Linked DNA regions of Oryctolagus cuniculus. Each later gene encodes a partner of the first gene's protein in a complex. Links are inferred from orthologs where the notes say so. Each region holds a gene or a part of one and is shown in the gene's direction. Other genes may lie near its edges.

Region 1 (6,462 bases):
CAGGGGGTCAGCCCCGCCTTGGAAGAGGCCAAGCTGGGGTCTCCTGTGGATAGGGTAGAAGGTCACCGGCAGGGGCACAGCACCTCAGTCAATCCTTGCAACTACCCTGCCGGACAGGACAGGTGCGACACTCTCACCGCCGTGAGGACGCAAGGAGCCGCTGTCACATCCCTGGGGGGGGGGGGGCGTGCTGGAGCTGGGGCTGTGTCCCATATCCCACCAGGCCCTGCACCCTCAGAAGCCCTGGAGGAACAGGGTCCGCCCCACGTGCCTGGCGCCCGCCCGGCCCTCTGGCCCCCGCACTCACCCTCGAGCAGATGTTCCATCTCCTCGTCGTCGCTGGTGACGGCCTCCGTGGTGTCCTCCACTGGCCCCAGGGCCCTCTGCAGGTGGTCTTGCTCTACCTCCAGAGCCCAGGCCAAGTAGCCCCTAATCCCACAGCACAGTCAGGGAGGGGAAGCAGGAGGGGTCCGGAGACCACCCCACCCCTGCGCATGCGCCCTGCCACCACCTCTCCCCTCAGCCCCGTGCTGTGCCTTCCCAGAGCAGGCTGCAGAAGGCAGAGAGCAGAGAGAGGGGTGCCAGGGAGCAAGTGGGGTGCTGGGGGAGAGAGAGCGCCAAGGACAGGGCCTGGCAGAGGGGCTGGGGGCGCTGGGCACCCCGCCTGCCCTGGCTCGTTCCCCTCCGGTGTCTAGTGCTCCCTCCGGGACGAAGACAGCTTACACTTGCAGGAGGACCCTGTCCCTGCCCCCAGCCCCACTGCCCCCCAACCCCTGATGGCTCCTCCCTGTCCCTGTCCCCTTATCCCTGCCCCCGCCCATTCAGGCGCCCCACTGAGCTCCTTATCCAGCTGGGAACTTGCTTTCTGACGCTTCTCAGCCTGGGTGCCCCCATCCCAGGCCCAGATGCTGCCCCCAGCCCCAGGCCACTGCCCCGCCTGGGGCTCCACAGCCCCTCACCTGTCCCTGGAGGCTGGCTGCTCCTTTTCCCTCCCTTCCTCAGACGGGTTGCCTAGCACTTCCTGGCTTCCGGTGGGCAGCACTGCCTTTACCTTCACGGCCTGGGCCGGGACCCTCAGGACCTCCTTGGGGTCGGGGGTGTGGACCCGCATGTCGCCCATGTCCAGCCCCAAGGGATCCAGCCAAGGCAGATGGGTGGCGCCCTTGGGTGTGGCCACAGATGGGCTGCCCTGCAGGGTGGCAGGTGGCCCCACCTCCCTCCTTCCGCCTCCCTGGCAGCCAAGCATCAGGGAGCTGACCCCGAGCTGCGGTACCAGCGCCTGGCCAGGGCTCTTCCGGCTGTCCCTGCTCCTAGCCAAACTATGGAAAAAGCAGAACATGGAAGAGTGGCCCAAAATCCGCGGGCGAGGGGTCGGAGCTGGGGCCTCCATCCTGAGAGCGGAGCCTCTCAGAGCGAGGGTCAAGGTAGCCACCCCAGGACCAACTGCTGAAGAACAGGAGTTTTCAAATTAAACCTCCAGTTGGAAACTTCCGGAAGTTCCAGAAGGCACAGAGCAGATGGGGTGGGGGTGGGGAGGAGTTAAAGGCAGAGGCCTGGCGGGCTGCTGCTTCTCGGGGCTGCAGGAGTCCCGGGAGGCGGCCGAGAGGGACCAGGACTGAGACCAGGGGCTGCGGGGACCCTGCCTCCTTCTGTCCTGCGGAACATTCCCGCAGCCAGACAGCACCTGCCCTCCCTCCCCTGTCCCCACTCACTGAGGATTTAACAATTTTTATCTTATCTGAAAGGCAGCCAGACAGAGAGAGACATCTTGCACCTGCTGGTTCACTCCCCAAATGCCCACAACAGGTAGGGCTGGGCCAGGCTGAATGAAGGAGCCTGGAGCTCCATCCAGATCTCCCACATGGATGGCAGCCCTCACCCGGTGCCTCCAGGGTGCACACTAGCAGGAAACTGCTATAGGAAGTGGAGCTGGGGCTTGAACCCTGGCACTCGGATACAGGATGCAGGCGTCCTGAGCAGCAGCTTCTTCACTGGGCCAAATGCCTGTCCCCACCATGGAGTTTGTGGATGTTGTTGCTTTTAAAGATGTGTTGATTTATTTAAAAGGCAAAGCTACAGAGTGAGAGGGAGACTCAGAGAGAGAGCTTCCATCCGCTGGTTCTCTCCCCCAACCACTGCAACAGCCAGGGCTGGGCCAGGCCAAGGCCAGGTCTCCCACGTGGGTGCAGGGGCCCAAGCACTTGGGCCATCTTTTGTTGCATCCCCCCCCCCCCCCGGCACATTAGCAGGGAGCTGGATGGGAAGTGGAGCAGCCGGGACTCAAACCCGTGCTTCCGTGTGGGATGCCAATATTGCAGATGACAGCTTAGCCTGCTGCAGCCATAATGCTGGGCCTCTGATCTGTGCTGCTCTGCCTGCCGACTTCAGGATTTCCAATCTCCAGACACCACCGAGGTGCCTGGCGCGTCGATCTGAATTACAGGTGGAATCTCAATTCAGTATTATCACTCTCCACCTACGGATGTGATTATCAATCAGCTCAGTGATTCTGTAAACCAGCTGGGGCTTGATTTGCTCATCTGTAAAATGGGTGTAGTCCATGGCACCTACTTCCAGGGGCTGTTGAGAAGGTCCTGGTTGACTGGATCCACAAGACCAAGGTTGCTAAAGTGCATGGCCTGCAGCAGTTGGAGCTTAAGAAACTTGGGCACCCTGTGTCTTTATCGGTACGCATGGAAGGAAGTGAGAAAGATCAAGGTCGAGGTGGGTTGGCAGTCGGGGAGGGTGAAGGAGAGCTGCCGCCTCTCCCGCTCGCCCGCGCCGCCCCTGGGCTCAGCCAGCCCCGGCCTTCCCGCTCTGGGCTCCAGGCCTGTGCCTCGGCATCCGGCGACCGCCCAGCGACTTCCTCTAGAGGGAGCTGATTGCGGCCGGGAGCAGCCAGCACCTCTATGATCGTCCGAGCCGTGAGGGTCCCTCGGGCCGTGCCGGGACCAGCAGAGGCTGCATCCGGCCGCCCGGAACACTGACGCCTGTTCCTGGAAGCTGGGACCCGCCTGGCCTCGAGAGGACCCATGGCCTCGGCCTGAGTGTGGGCAGGTAAGCTGGGAGAGCCCCTCCACGCTCCCTAATCCAGCAGCCCCGGCTCCAGGGTGGGGCAGAGAGCCCTCCAGGAGGGTGCTGGGGAGTGGGGGGTGGGGGAAGGCCTTAAGGTTTGCCTGGCAGTTCCTCCGACTCCTGCAGGGGACTGCTTTTGCTGGGGCTCCCTCTAGCTTGGTCTCCCCCCACCCCCCAGCTTCCCTTCTGGCCCTGGCCCCAGGATGACCAAGAACTGGGGCGTTTAGCCATCCAGGGGATGGAAGTGGGGGTCAGAGCCTAGGTCAAGGGCAGGGAGAGAACTTTCGGTTTTCCATGCTCCCCCACCCCCACCCCACTCCGGCCAGCCAGGCCGATCTCCCTGGGGACATCCATCCCAGGCCCAGCAGATTGGGGGTGCTGGGGATGGTGTCCCCTTAGGTGAGGTGAGGCCACTTGCCTGGGCTGGTGGGGGCTGTTCTGAGGCTCTGCCTGCTTACTAGCAGTGAGCCCCTGGGGAGGTGCTGGAGGGGCTGGGGGTGCGGTCAGCATCCTCTGGCCGTGCTGTCTTGGGGGTGCTGGGACCTGGGGAGCAGGGGGAAGGAGCTGCTTGGGGAGGGGGTGTGCCAGGCCAAGGTCTATTTTAATGAGTCTGGCTGCCGTAGCCTATCCCACCCCCTAAGAAGGTGAGGGTGGGGTGCAGAGACACACAGGTGGCCCCCACCCCTTCTCAGAGAGCCCCTGGAGAGCTTGAAAAGAAGGTGGGGGGTGTTCCCAGGCTCAGGAGGGGTGGGGTCCGGGCTCGGCTGCACCCTCTGCAGGCCAAGGAGGGGGCGCTTCCTTCCTGCTGATGGAGGCAACTTTGGGGAAACTGGGCTCCGCAAGGGGTGCAAAGTGAAAGTGAAACAACTGACATCCAGGAAACACTCCCTCTGCCCAGGGCACCGGCAGATCGGCGCTGCGGCCGGGACGGGGCGAAGAGGGAAACCGAGCCGGGACAGGAGAGCAGGTGTGAGGCCAGGTTAGAGGCGTGGGCTGGGGTACACGGTGTGAGGCCAGGGTACGAGGTGTGGGGCCTGGGTACAAGGCGTGGTGGGGCCGGGGTATAAGGCGTGGGACTGGGGTATGAGGCCTGAGCCTGGGTAGGAGGCATGGGGCTGGGGTAGGAGTCCTGGGGCCTGGGTATGAGGTGTGGGGCCAGAGTATGAGGCTTGGGTCTGGGTGTGAGGTGTGGGGCCGGGGTATGAGGCCTGGGGCCTGGGTACGAGGTGTGAGGCCAGGGTTCCAGGTGTGGGGCCAGGGTGTGCGGTGTGGCCTGGGGTACACAACGTGAGCGTTGGGTACAAGCTGTGCAGTCTGTGTATGCGGCCTGGGGCCAGCAGGCAGGGAGTAGATGGGGAGAAAGGCCGGCTGACAGAGTATGACTCTTAGATCAGTTTTGAGTTCATGGACCCCTGAACATTCACACAGCCAGTCAGCCTGGCTGATTAGCCTCCTGGCCTCAGGCGCTAATCTCTGCATGCCTCACCTTTCCCATCTGTAAAATGGGTACGGTGGTGCTTACCTCACTGAGTCAATGTGTGTTTTCAACACTCAAGGCCTGGGCAGTGCTCCAAGGTGGCAGAGTACACCATAGGCTCTCGGGAGACAGCTAACAGGCCTGAGCTGGGGAACAGCTGTGTTCTGGCCTGCTAAGGGGAAGTAAGGCCTTCGTGGGTGATTGGCCGGGGCGGCAGGCTGCAGTAGGCGTGTGCTGTGGGTGCCGCAGGCCCTGGGCTGCTCTGAAGCTAACATGTGCAGTGGCACAGCTGTGGCCACGCCCTCCCAGAGGCCCCGGCAGCTGGTCGCAGACCATGTGTACGGATCCCTGAGTGTGTCCCCAGCTGCCTCCCCTTGGCGACCCCAGCTCCCTTGCAGGGTTGCCAGTGATTGCTCCAGGAGTGCCCATTCCCCGCGTAGACTCCACCGGGACCCGAGGTGGTGGGAAGAGAAGTGCCGGGGACGGTGTTCGGCGGCAGGGAAGCGCTGCCTGGGACGCCCACACCGCCAGTGCCTGGGTCTGGGTGCTGGCTCTGCTTCCCATCCCAGCCCGCTAATGTGCACCCTGGGGGGCAGCAGGGGATGGCTCAAGCACCCAGGGGGCTCCCACCCATGTGGAAGGCTAGGATGGAGTTCCTGGCTGGCCCGGCCCGGCCCTGACTACCATGGACATTTGGGGAGTGAACCAGCAGGTAGGAGAGCTCTGTCTGTGTTTCTCTTTCTGTATTAATTTTTGTTAAGATTTACTTATTTATTTGAAAGTCAGAATTACACAGAGAGAGAAGGAGAGACAGAGAAAGAGAGAGGGGTCCTCCATCTGCTGGTTCATTCCCCAGTTGGCCGCAACGTCCAGAGCCGTCCGATCCGAAGCCAGGAGCTCCCTCCGGGTCTCCCACATGAGTGCAGGGGCTCAAGGACTTGGGCCATCTTCTGCTTTCCCAGACCACAGCAAAGAGCTGGATTGGAAGTGGAGCAGCCGGGACACGAACCGATGCTCATATGGGATGCCGCACTGCAGGCGGCGGCTTTACCCGCTACGCCACAGTGCTGGCCCTGCTCTACTTCTGCTCCGGCTCCCTGCTAATGTGCCTGGGAAAGCAGTGGCTGATGCTCCAAGTGCTTGGGGCCCTGCACCCACTTGAGAGACCCAGATGGAGCCCCTGGCTCCTGGCTTCATCCTGGCCCAGACCTGGCTGCTTGGAGACTGAACCGGTGGGTGGAAGATTAATCTCTCTGCCTTAAATTGAAAGAAAAAAAGAGAAAGAGAAAGAAAGCCCAGAAGACTGGGGGTCTCCATGGGAATGGGTGCCCTCCAGCCTGCTCGGGAGGCCCTCTCTGGGCTGCCTGGTCAGGCCCCTGCCCGTGCCCATCTCTGCTTTTTCTCCCCATCCCCACAGGCTGACCGTGTCCTCCACTGAGGCCTGAACAAGATGGCATCCGGGCAAGGCCCAGGTCCTCCTGGCGAAGGCTGTGGAGAGCCTCCCGAGCCCTCCACTTCTGGTAAGGGTCTCCTGCCCCCACCCCCCAGCCATGGGGGCCATCCCGAGGGTGGAGTGGGCAGAGGTGGACAGGGCCAAGCCGGACACAGGGGTGCACTGTGCTGCCTGGGTGCAGCTCCTCTGGATGAAGGTGACATCTTTGTACCCAAGGCCCACGGGTGCAGAAGGCAGGAGCTGTGAGCCAGGCTAGGCGCTTGGCGTGGGCAGGGCGGAGCCTGGGCGGGCTGGGTGCCAGCAAGAAGGCTGTGAGGTCAGAGGAAGGGGTGGTTCTACCATCCCCGCTTCCCTGTGGGAGAAGAAATCAGGAAGCTGGGGCGCTTATCAGCCAGGCAGGTCTGCAGGACAGAGAGCGAATGTTGTGCCTGGGGAGGAATGAGATGGCGCCCGCCTT
Region 2 (5,795 bases), about 2.4 Mb from region 1:
ACAGATGCTGAAGGCCTCCCAGGCGCAGGCCGCAGTGAAGAGCCACAAGACCTGGATCTGCTGTCACAGAACAGAACACGGACAGGGGGGCAAGTGGCAAGCAGCAAGGTGGTGGCGGTCACCCATTGATTTGGGGGAGAAACTCTGGGCTTCTTTCCTTTTTAAGATTTTTTTTTTGAAAGAATGATGGAGATGTGTGTGTGTGTGTGTGTGTGTGTAAGAGAGAGAGAGAGAGAGAGTTTTCCTTCTGTTGGTTCACTCCCCAGATGGCTACAATGGCTGGGGTTGGACCAGGAGGAAGCCAGGAGCTTCTTCCAGGTCTCCCTCGTGGGTGCAGGGCCCCAAGCACTTGGGCCATCTTCCACTGCTTTCCCAGGCCATTAGCAGGGAGCTGGATGGGAAGTGGAGCAGCCAGGACACAAACCGGCACCTGTATGGGATGCCGACTTTGCAGGCAGTGGCTTTGCAGGCAGTGGCTTTACCTGCTGCACCACAATGCCGGCCCCAGCCCTGGGTTTCTGAGACTGTGCACACACGGCTGGGTGTGGGCTGTGGGTCCACACATGAGTGCCACACGCACGGTCCCTTGGCGCAGCTGGTGGGTGTGTAGCCAGCCGGCTGTTATATTTACTGAATGAGGGACAGGGCTGGGAGGGGCGCGGTGAAGGATCTCTGTGAGGTCAGAGAGGGGAACCCAGCCAGGTGCACCCATTAGAAACCAGTACAGGGATGAGGTCAACGTGCAATTCAGAAGCAAACCAAACAGCTGCGTGACAAGGAAAACAGGCCGGCTTCCTGCTCGGGGTCAGCTTTCTCTCTGCTGACTGCTGATGGGACTTGCCCTGTCTTATCAGAAGTCCCTGGGGTGTTTCTGAGCCAGTGTGGACTTTGCTCTGAAAACCACTCTCTGTCAAGGCCATCCACAATTTCCCGAGAGCAGCTGGGAGCCCAGGCAGTGAGGCTGTGCTGCTGCCTAGGTGTATCAGCCCAGGTGGTGGTGGGGGACTGTTTCCAACAGGAGGGAGTCCCCGTGAGGCACAGACAGACAACAAGGAAAGGAAAGGAAAGCCTTGCTTTGATGAATTCTGGAAATGGTCGTTCAGAAAGCCTAGGAAGACGTCGCTGTGGCTTGTGTGCACGGGGAGGTGTTGCTATGGAAACCGGTGCTTCTCCTGGCTTCCATGAGGGCAGCTAGGGGGTGGGGCATTCAGAGAGGTGGGCGGAGCTGGGCTGCGCTGGTCACAGCAGGAAGGGGAATCGGACAGGGCACCTTCAGGGTGAGCAATGGAGCTGCAATGGCCTTCGCCTTCCTCTGGGCCGAGGATCTGGGTTCTTCGAGGGAGGCGGTGGGCAAATCAGTCCGTTTTCTGGAAAAAACACAAAGAAGGAAGAGCATTTTCTGGTGCAGCTGCATGATGCTCGGATTAGGAGGCACAGGTGTTCCTGGAATGGGGCAGGGGACACTGCGGCCATCAGCCATGCTGCAAACCATCTCCATAGTGATGGCAGCTTTTCTAAAAAAATATTTATTTATTTGAAAGGCAGAAATATATAGAGAGAGGTCTTCCATCTGCCAGAAGCCAGGAGCATCCTCCAGGTCTCCCTGAGGGTAGCAGTGGTCCAAGCAGTTGGGCCACCTTCTGCTGCCTCCCCAGGTACATGAGCAGAGAGCTGGATGGGAAGTGGTACGGCCAGGATTCAAGCCAGGGTTCATATGGGAAGCCCGCTTCACACCTCTGTGCTGGACATAACAAGGGGGTACATTTCAGAGTAGATGAATCACCTCGCACAGGCAGGGGATATGACGTAAAAACATTTACGGCCCCTACCACTAAATCACCTTCATCAACACAGGAAAAACCACAGTGGGGAATCAGCGTAGATGACCCCCTGGCCTAACTGCACGGCTGCCTGGGAGCACAGGTTAGGGATTCTAACCCACATCCTGTTTTTCTTTTATGGCCCATTAAGGAGCAAAGGTTTCTGAGCAGCCTGGGGGACAAAAGACACGCACCCCAGGGCGCCGCCCACACCCAGGCCTGCAGGAGACGCCGCCGGAACAGGCGGTTCTCTCCCCGGTTCCCCTGGAAGCCGCTTGGCTCCTCGTGGGGAGCAGAAGGGCCTCTCACATGGGCCCAGCCCGGACGCACAGTGGGTCGCACGGGTTACTGAACGCTTCAGCGTTACACATGTACCTGTTCATGGAGCAAGGAGTCTGCCGGGGACGTTGTTGTGGGCGCTGAGGATGCAAGACCTGGCAGAACGGACCAAAGGCAGGGGGGCTTCAGTGCCCCATCTCGCACCGCGGCAGGTGGGGGGCGGGCAGAGGGAGCGCTCAGAGGCAGTGGCCAGGGAGGGCCTCCAGGAGCAGGAGACAATTGAACATATCCTTGGCTTCTGAGAGAAGAACGTTCTAGAAAGAGGGACTGGCCAGAAGAAAGGCCAGGAGGTGGAGCGGGACTGAGCGACAGCAAGCAGGCATGGTGGGGTGGCTAAGGGAGAGGGGAGGGGGAGGTGATGGCCCAGGGGGCCATGGCCAGTGCAGGAGCTCCCAGAAGGGAGGGAGCCCCTGGGGCTGCTGGAGGGAGGGGCTCCTGGGAGGAGGGCAAGAGGAGAGGAGGGAGACCCCGCAGGAGCCAGTGTGATCGCCCAGGTGAGCACAGCTGGAGACGGGCATTGGAGTGAGGCGGGAAGCCCTACGGCTGGCTCAGCCGTGGAAGGGAGAGAACAGAGTCAGGGCAGATGGCAGGTTTTCAGTTGCAGGTGCAGAGCTGGCGTGGCCCGAGCCCAGCCGTAAAATGCCCCCGGCAGCCCGGGAGACGCACAGGACAGGGGTGGGGCACGTTTCCGATGAGGACGTGAGCCCGCAGAGGTGCCAGAGCTCCCCAGGGCGGGGAAGGGGTCTGTTTCCCGAGGCTGCGCGGGCACAGAATCGCACACACTCGGCGCCTCAGAGCAACAGGAAAGAGGCACCGTGCAGTTCTGGGGGCCCCAGTCCGCATCAGTGTCTGAGGACTGAACCCAGGCGTGGCCGGGGCTGGCGTCCTGCTGGCATCCCAGGAGGGGCTGCCAAGTCTCTGTGAGATGGGGGCACTGTCTCCCCGTGGTCCCATCTCCCCCACCGAGAGCGGGGACGGGGACACCCCCTTCCGGGAGGGCCCCACGCCCGTGTCCAGTGGGCCTCTCCTGAAGCGGCTCTTTGCTTTTGTTGCAGCCCATGGAGAACCAGAGGGGCCCGAGGAAGCCCCCGGCAGCCAGGAGAACCCGGTCTCTGGACAGGCCGAAGGCCCCGCCGAGGGGCTGCACATCAGGGAACCTCTCCCTGGCCGCCTCGCCCAGGAGGGCGCTCCGCCGGACGGCCAGCGATGGCGCCAGGGGTCCTGAGAGCCCGGCTCTGTCTGTGGGGTCAGCAGCCCTGCCTCCGGAAGACATGGGAGAGCAGAGGCCCCCACAAGACGCCAAGAGAGACAAGGCCCCGAGGTGGTGGGCCCAGCCGAGATGGTTAAAGACACTCCTGAGCTTCCTGCTGAGGGCGTCCGAGGAGCCCAAAGAAAAGGCCAGCAGGAGGCCAAGAGGGAAGGAGGGCTTCCCCCAGGCCTCAGAGCCCCCAGAGGCTGCAGGGGAACCAGCCTGCAGGAAGAAAGTCCAGGACACGAAGGCCAGCCGCAGGAAATCTGGCTCTAAGAAACCCAGCCCTGAGGAAACCAACGGGACTCAAGACATGGAGGCTGGAGACCAACAGGCAGGGCGGCCCAGGCTGAGCCCGGCTCACGGAGGTGAGCATACTGCGCCTGGCGGCTCCACCACCCTGCCCAGCACCAGGGGGGACAGGGAAAGGGGGACTGCTGGGGACAGCACTGCTGTGACATTTTCAGCACCAGGGCTGATGGCTGGCAGGGCCTCCCTTCTCCAGCTGTGTGGCCTGGGGCCAGCAACAGACCCAGGAGAAATGGGAAGGGGGAGAGAGGAGAACGCCATCACCCAGCTGGCTGCAGACCCTGGTCCTAGAGTTGGCTCCATCAGGAGTGAACTTGCTGTGTGACCTTGAGAAAGTGGCTGACCCCCCCAGTGAGACAGCCGGTCCCCAGGGTGCCTCCCTGGCCTGACTCCTGGGCCCTGGAGCTGAAATCCCACCGCAGCTGCAGGAAGATGGAGCTTCCCTGAGGCGAGCTCAGGAAGCTCCAGGACTAGGGAGAGGGGCAGTGAGAAGGATGCCTGAGCGGGGGCTGCTGCTTTTCAAATGCCAGCTTTGGCCATGCCCCCGGGGTGCTGGGGTTCTGCGCTCCCGGAGATGAACAGTCCAGGAGCATGTCCCCGCCCCGCGCACACCGCCACCTGCTGTCCTCTGGGTTCCAGGTGGGGAAGATGACCAACTCCATCAGTCCTTGCTCACCGAAGGGGAAGGTGCTGGAGCCGCAGACGTCTGTCCCCAAGCCACAGATCACCGGCAAGAAGAGGCGCTCACGAAGCCCGACCGTGAGTCCTTGTCCCTGCGGCCAGGGCAGTGCTGGGATGAGCCGATCACTCAGAATGGTCGCTGAGCCCGGGCCGCTGGTCCCTCTCGCCTCTCCCCGTGCTGTGGCCACGCTGACTTATTTTAGGGTTTCCCAGGAGGGAGTCTCTCGGTTTGGAAAGACTGCTGGCAGATGCTTCTGCCTTAGGTAGTAACGGGACTTTTTTTTTTTTTTTTTTTTTTTTTTTAAGATTTATTTTATTTACTTGAAAGAGTTACAGAGAGAGGTAGAACCAGAGAGAGAGAGAGGCCTTCCATCTGATGGTTCACTCCCCAGATGGCCGCTGGAGCTGTGCCAATTTGAAGCCAGGAGCCAGGAGCTTCTTCTGGGTCTCCCACACGGGTGCAGGGGCCCAAGGACTTGGGCCATCTTCTACTGCTATCCCAGGCCATACCAGAGAGCTGGATTGGAAGAGGAGCAGCTGGGACTAGAACTGGCGCCCATATGGGATGCCAGCACTTCAGACCAGGGCTTTAACCCACAGCGCCACAGCGCAGGCCCAATGAGACTTTTCAGTTTAGTCTTCTAAGCCGGTCTGAGCCAGGAACTTCTTCCTGGACTCCCACGTGGGTACAGGGGCCCAAGCACTTGGGTCATCCTCTGCTGCTTTCCCAGGCCATTAGCAGGGAGCTGGATCAGAAGTGGAGCAGCCAGGACATGAACTTGGACCCATATGGGATGCCAGCACCGCAGGTGGCGGCTTTACCCACTACGCCATAACGGCAGCCCTAAAATGAACTATTTTTTTTTTTTTTTTGACAGGCAGAGTGGACAGTGAGAGAGACAGAGAGAAAGGTCTTCCTTTTGCCGTTGGTTCACCCTCCAATCCTCCAATGGCCACCGCTGCCGGCGCACTGTGCTGATCCAAAGGCAGGAGCCAGGTGCTTCTCCTGGTCTCCCATGGGGTGCAGGGCCCAAGCACCTGGGCCATCCTCCACTGCACTCCCGGGCCGTAGCAGAGAGCTGGCCTGGAAGAGGGGCAACCGGGACAGAATCTGGTGCCCCGACCGGGACTAGAACCTGGTGTGCTGGTGCCGCTAGGCGGAGGATTAGCCTGCGGCGCCGGCCAAAATGAACTTTTAATTCCGTTTTTTTCCATGAGCTTTATGAAATCCCTTGTATGGGTATCGTTTTAATCATAGAACTGGGGCCGGCACTGTGGCGCAGTGGGTAAATGCCCTAGCCCCTGCTGTGCCAGCATCCCATATGGGCGCCGGTTTGAGACCTGGCTGCTCCACTTCCAATCCAGCTCTTTGTTACAGCCTGGGAAGGCAGTGGAGG
Region 3 (5,795 bases), about 2.5 Mb from region 1:
GAAGTCTTCCATCCACTGGTTCACTCCCCAAATGGCTACGACAGCCAGAGCTGGGCCGATCCAAAGCCAGAAGCCAGGAGCTTCTTCTGGGTCTCCCAGGTGGGTGCAGGGGCCCAAGGCCACAACAGAGAGCTGGATTGGAAGTGAAGCAGCTAGGAATTGAATCCATAAGGGGTGCCGGCACTGCAGGCTATGGTTTTATGGGCTAAACCACAGCACCAGCCCCCTGTTTTTTTGTTTGTTTTGTTTTTTTGACAGGCGGAGTTAGACAGTGAGAGAGAGAGACAGAGACAGAGAAAAAGGTCTTCCTTCCGTTGGTTCACCTCCCAAATGGCTGCTACAGCCGACGCTGCGCCGATCCGAAGCCAGGAGCCAGGTGCTTCCTCCTGGTCTCCCATGCGGGTGTAGGGGCACAAGCTCTTGGGCCATCCACTGCCCTCCCGGACCACAGCAGAGAGCTGGACTGGAAGAGGAGCAACCAGGACTAGAACCTGGTGCCCATATGGGATGCCGGCGCTGCAGGTGGAGGATTAACCAAGTGAGCCACAGTGCTGGCCCCTCCTTGTTTGTTTTTTAATTTGAGTTGTAGAGAGACAGAAAGAGCTTCCATCTACCTGCCTACCATTGACTCCTGAAATATCTGCAATGGCTGGAACTGAGCTGAGCTGAAGCCGTGTAGCCAGGTATTCAAGCCAGGTCTCCAACTACTTGAGAATCCTACTCCTTGAGCCATCACATGCTGCTTCCCAGGGTTCGCATCAGCAAGCGGTTGGAGCCAGTAGCTTAGGTGGGGCCTGGAACCCAGACACTCTGACAGGGGATGTGGCCATCTCAGCTGGAATCTTAAGTGCTAGCAGAAGACTGACTCTTCTGGGGCTTTTGTGCCTGCGATCTGTGCTGAGTACACTGGGCTGGGGGTGCCAAGGGTGCCAGGCGGGGCTCTTGTTCCCGCATCAGCCCTCCTGTAAGGGGCACATCTCTCTCCCCCTCGCAGCCTCCCAGTCTCCGTGGGATAGACAGGCTTCTAAGCCTCAGGAGCCCCTGAGATGGGTCCTTGGACTTTTCTCTGCCTGATTCACTTGTCCACATCTTATCCCTGCTTCCTGCCTCCAGAAACGTGTACAGCCCACTCATCTGCTGTTGGCTGGGACTCCCATCCTGTTCAGTGTTTTGGCTTTCTTTTTTCTACTCCATTTTGGTGATGTCTTGGAGGGGATTCAGGGAGGAGAAGCCAATCTTGAGCCAGAAGTCACCCAACTCCCATTTTCAGTGAATGAAATCGGGAGTATGCAGGAGGACCAGCACAGGAGACAATATAATATTTACATTATAAGTGGCTGTGGAAGACACTTGCACACCGATTTGGAGCAGGTTTGCTTAGGAACTTCCCTGAAGGCAACCAGGACAGCTGGCACTGGTGCCCCTGCAGGGCCCTCGCCACACAGCCGTGGCGGAAGGCTCCAACACTGGGAGGATGATCTGCCTTACAAAGGAATTAAGTAGAGATTACACACGAGACTTCTGTCCAAATTTCTTACGAGGCCATTTAGATTCAGGTTTTATTTTCAGAACCATGTGTGCTTATATAGTCACATAACTTTTCAGTAGTCCTTATTGTATTAGGTGGGATACTTTTGTCCTCTGGACATTCAAAATCCAACTCTTCAAAAATAATGCCAATTTTGACCCTTATTTCCTTCAGTCTGATGATCTTGTCAGAAGACTCTCACTTGCCTCCAATATATGACCTGAATATTCTCTGGCTACAATGTTGTAATATGATGGTGTCGCTGTCTTGGTGTGCGAATGTCACAGGGCAGGGGCACCAGCTCTCTTCAGCTAGCAAGTAATGCCATATGCAGGTGGGCCATAGCAGAGCTCTCAACCCATTTTACGTTAACTTTTATGAAGTAAATGGACAGAACCCCAGACACAACCTCCCATTATCAGGAAGTTTACTTACTTTTTTTTTTTTTTTAATGTAGATCCAACTTCAGTGTAAAGGCTCAATATTTTAAAAAAGTGTGTATCCAGGGCTACCGCGTGGAGCCAGGAACTCAGTCCAGGTCTCCAACATGAGTGGCAGGGACCCAATTACTTGAGCCATCATTGTTGCCTCCCAGCGTCCACATTAACTGGAAGCTGGAGTTGGATGCTGAATCCAGGCCATATGCTGTAGGCCAAGTGCCTACCTCAGGCGCTTAATTTTTTAAAAAAAGATTTATTATTTATTTTATTTATTTGAAAGGCAGAGTTACAGAGAGAGGTAGAACCAGAGAGAGAGAGAGAGAGAGGTCTTCCATCTGCTGGTTCACTCCCCAAATGACTGCAACAGCCAGAGATGAGCTGATCTGAAGCCAGGAGCCAGGAGCTTCTTCCAGGTCTCCCACGTGGGTGCAGGGACCCAAGGACTTGGGCCATCCTCTACTGCTTTCTCAGGCCATAGCCGAGAGCTTGATCAGAAGTGGAACAGCTGGGACACAAACCGATGCCCAAGTGGGATACTGGCATTGTAGGCCATGGCTTCACCTGCCAAGCCCCAGCGCTGGCCCCTCCTGGATAATTCCTGGCCATCCTTCAAACTTCAGGACTCAGCTCAGCTGTCAGCTCCTTTGGGACATCTTCCTGGCCCCTCTGTGCAAACCTCACTCTTGCTCTAACCTAGTAAATCATAAGTTGTGTATTTTTCTTTCTTACCCTGGGCTCTTTGATTTTTTTTAAAATTTTCAATATATTAGAAAGGCAGAGAAAAAGGGAGGGAGGGAGGGAGGGAGAGAGAGAGAGAGAAAGAATCTCCTGTCACCTGGTTCACTTCCCACATGCATGCAATAGCTCTCGTTGGACCAGATTGAAGCCAACAGTTGAGAACTCAGTCGAGGCCTCCCACACTGGTGGCAGGGACCCAAGCACTTGAGCCGCCATCTGCTGCTTCCCAGTGTGCATTAACAGGAAGCTGGAATTGGAAGTGGAGCTGGGACTCTAACACAGGCACTGCGATGTGGGATGTGAGCATTCCAAGCAGTGTTGTAACCACTGCACCAAATGCCCATCGCTTTGAGGGCAGGCCTTAAAAAATAAAAGGTCCTGGGGCACAGCAGGTAAAGCTGCCAACACCAGCATCCCATACGGGTGCCGGGTTCGTGTCCTAGCTGATCCATTTCTTTTTAAATTAATTAATTAATTAATTAATTTGAAAGTTAGAGATACACAGAGAGAGGAGAGGCAGAGAGAGAGAGAGAGAGAGAGGTCTTCCACCTGCTGGTTCACTCCCCAGTGGGCCACTAATGACCAGAGCTGCACCAATCCGAAGCCAGGAGTCAGGAGCTTCTTCCAAGTCTTCCTCACGGGTGCAGGGGCCCAAGGACTTGGGCCATCCTCTACTGCTTTCTCAGGCCATAGCAGAGAGCTGGATTGGAAGTGGAGCAGCCAGGACTTGAACTGGCACCCATATGGAATGCCAGCGCTGCAGGCAGCAGCTTTACCTGCTACGCCACAGCGCCGGCCCCAGGCTGATCCACTTCTGATCCTGCTCCCTACTAATGGCCTTCTGAAAAGCAGCAGAGGACATTCCTAGTGTGTGGGTCCTTGCCTTGGGTCCATGTGGGAGACCCAGATGAAGCTTCTGACTCCTAACTTCAGCCTGGCCCAGTGCTGGCTGTTGTGGCTATCTGGGGAGCCAACCAGTGGATAGAAGATCTCTCTGTCTCCTCTCCGTAACTCTTTCAAAAATAAGTAAGTGGGGCTGGCGCTGTGGCTCACTTGGTTAATCCTCTGCCTGTGGCGCTGGCATCCCATATGGACACCGGGTTCTAGTCCCGGTTGCTCCTCTTCCAGTGCAGCTCTCTGCTGTAGCCCAGGAAGGCAATGGAGGATGGCCCAGTTGTTTGGGCCCCTGTGCCCGCATGGGAGACCAGGAGGAAGCACCAGGCTCCTGGCTCCTGGCTTCGGATCAGTGCAGTGCCGGCTGTAGCGGCCATTTGGGGGGTGAACCAACGGAAGGAAGACCTTTCTCTCTGTCTCTCTCACTGTCTAACTCTATCTGTCAAATAAATAAAAAAATAAGTAAGTAAATCTTTAAAAATAAATAAATAAATAGTTTTAATTTCTAAAAAGATTATTTTATTTGACAGGAAGAGAGAGAGAGCAAGTGAACTTCTATCTGCGGTTCACTCCCGAAATGCTCACAACAGCCAGGGCTGGGCCATGCTGAGACTGGGAGCCAGGGACTCAGTCCAGGTCTCCCATCATATGAGTGGCAGCGTCCTGACTTTTTGAACCATCACCTGCTGCCTCGTAGGGTGTGTATTAGCAGAAAGCAGGACTGAACCCAGGCACTCTAATATGGGATGCGTGTGTCCCAAATGGGGTTTTAACTACCATGCTCCCAGGTTTTGCCTTTTGATAATTATTTTCTTGATTGGGTTTCATCTCTCTCATTGTCTGATGTAGTTTTCAGTAACTAGTGGTGAATCATTTTACCCATGGTTAATAGAGTTTTCTCTTTCAAACTCTTTCCTGTCAATGCAGATCACAACCCCCCTTCTCAGCCCAAAGAGAATAGCATCGGCCAGAACCATCACCAGGAAGAGATAATTCAGAAGTTGGCCATACAATTGAGACTCATTGGGGACAGCATCAATCACAGGATGGTTCAAGAGGTGAGACTTCCTTTTTCCCAGCAAGGGCCTGTCAGGTGGGAGGAAAGAGCAAAGACAGCAAGCAATTGCTGCCCCGTGGCCAAGGTGCCCAGGAGTGGTCAGAGCTCTGGGACCAACAATGCCACACACAATCAGCAGATCTAAAAATCGTGAGCCTGTGTCAAGGCCAGCGTTTGCTGTCATCCTTGCTACCCTCGCTGTGATTCGTGGACTGGCAGCAGCAGCATCCCCAGGGACCTGGTTAGATGCTCAAAATCCTGCCCACACCACCAGGAAGTCACAAGCCAGAATGGGCCTTTTTGCACATGGCCCAGGGGATCCGTGTGCACATCAATTAGGGAGAAACTGATGCACCCTCTCACAGTAGGATTAGAATTACCTATGGAGTTTTAGCTACTAGAGATGCCTGGGCCCACCTCTGGGACATTCTGATGTAATTGGCATTTTCCTAGCTCCCCGGGGTGAATCTAATGTGCAGTTGGAGCAGAAGCTGTGCCTTAGCTCTGGCTTCCCCTCCTTAAACCAACCCGAAGGCTGTGGCTCGAGTCCCGCCCCCAGGGACTTCTGATTATGGTTAGAGATGATAAGGGAATTAGGAAAGACTAAAAGGCTACTGTTTGAAATCTTGGGGGTGATGACACCCACAGCTAGCCTAGTTTTCCTCTAGAACAACCTGCAGTGGGCAACAGAGGAGGAACCATTGCATGGCGGCCCATGGTGGAGGGCTGGCTGTGCCTCAGAACCCAGCTTCTTCCCTTAACTTCACGGCCGGTGAGGATTCTTGTTAATCCCCATCACTGCCTCCACGCTGTCCTCAGTGAGCCTGTGTCCTCCCCACCAATTTTCTTTCTGTCTCTATTCATTTGCCTATTTGGGGCATTTTTTAAAAAAAGATTTATTATTTGGAAGACAAAGTTATAGAGAGAGAGGGAGAGACAGAGACAGAGAGATCCTCCAACCACTGGCTCACTCTCCAAATGATGGCAACTAGCAGGGCTGGGTCAGGCAGAAGCCTGAGCCTAGAACTCCATCTGGTCTTCAAGCACCTGGGCCAGGCTCCACTGCTTTCCCAAGCACATTTACCAGGGAGCTGGATTGGAAGTGGAGCAGCCAGGACTTGAACCAGCACTCCCATGG

What was found.
Region 2: the proteins of BAK1 (region 1) and BNIP5 are in contact, whole or in part, in a crystal structure (PDB 8IGC), measured with the Homo sapiens proteins. The link is inferred for Oryctolagus cuniculus from reciprocal best matches to the Homo sapiens genes BAK1 and BNIP5. Residues at the interface, in NP_001179.1 of Homo sapiens: Leu78, Ile81, Gly82, Ile85, Tyr89, Glu92, Phe93, Met96, His99, Leu100, Tyr110, Lys113, Ile114, Ser117, Leu118, Ser121, Asn124, Trp125, Gly126, Arg127, Val129, Ala130, Phe134, Ala180, Leu183; in NP_001010903.3 of Homo sapiens: Ile246, Ile247, Gln248, Met249, Ile250, Val251, Leu253, Leu254, Lys255, Arg256, Val257, Gly258, Asp259, Gln260, Trp261, Glu262, Glu264, Gln265, Ser266.
Region 3: the proteins of BAK1 (region 1) and PXT1 are in contact, whole or in part, in a crystal structure (PDB 8GSV), measured with the Homo sapiens proteins. The link is inferred for Oryctolagus cuniculus from reciprocal best matches to the Homo sapiens genes BAK1 and PXT1. Residues at the interface, in NP_001179.1 of Homo sapiens: Ile81, Gly82, Asp84, Ile85, Asn86, Arg88, Tyr89, Glu92, Phe93, Met96, Leu97, His99, Leu100, Tyr110, Lys113, Ile114, Ser117, Leu118, Glu120, Ser121, Asn124, Trp125, Gly126, Arg127, Val129, Ala130, Phe134, Asn182; in NP_694535.2 of Homo sapiens: Ile78, Ile79, His80, Lys81, Leu82, Ala83, Met84, Gln85, Leu86, Arg87, His88, Ile89, Gly90, Asp91, Asn92, Ile93, Asp94, Arg96, Met97.

The regions. Positions count from the first base shown.
Region 1 is NC_091436.1:135,609,327-135,615,788, forward strand, and holds the start of BAK1 (bcl-2 homologous antagonist/killer), read left to right. Parts: upstream 1-2,833; 5' UTR 2,834-3,057; intron 3,058-3,953; 5' UTR 3,954-4,042; exon of another isoform or gene 4,043-4,054; intron 4,055-5,969; 5' UTR 5,970-6,002; coding exon 6,003-6,072; intron 6,073-6,462. Other genes in the region: gametogenetin-binding protein 1, read right to left, coding at 1-43, 308-429, 960-1,390. UniProt on the Homo sapiens protein: Plays a role in the mitochondrial apoptotic process. Upon arrival of cell death signals, promotes mitochondrial outer membrane (MOM) permeabilization by oligomerizing to form pores within the MOM.
Region 2 is NC_091436.1:133,166,332-133,172,126, forward strand, and holds part of BNIP5 (protein BNIP5), read left to right. Parts: intron 1-1,058; exon of another isoform or gene 1,059-1,367; intron 1,368-2,195; exon of another isoform or gene 2,196-2,453; intron 2,454-3,214; 5' UTR 3,215-3,217; coding exon 3,218-3,776; intron 3,777-4,356; coding exon 4,357-4,476; intron 4,477-5,795.
Region 3 is NC_091436.1:133,116,877-133,122,671, forward strand, and holds part of PXT1 (peroxisomal testis-specific protein 1), read left to right. Parts: intron 1-4,527; coding exon 4,528-4,658; intron 4,659-5,795.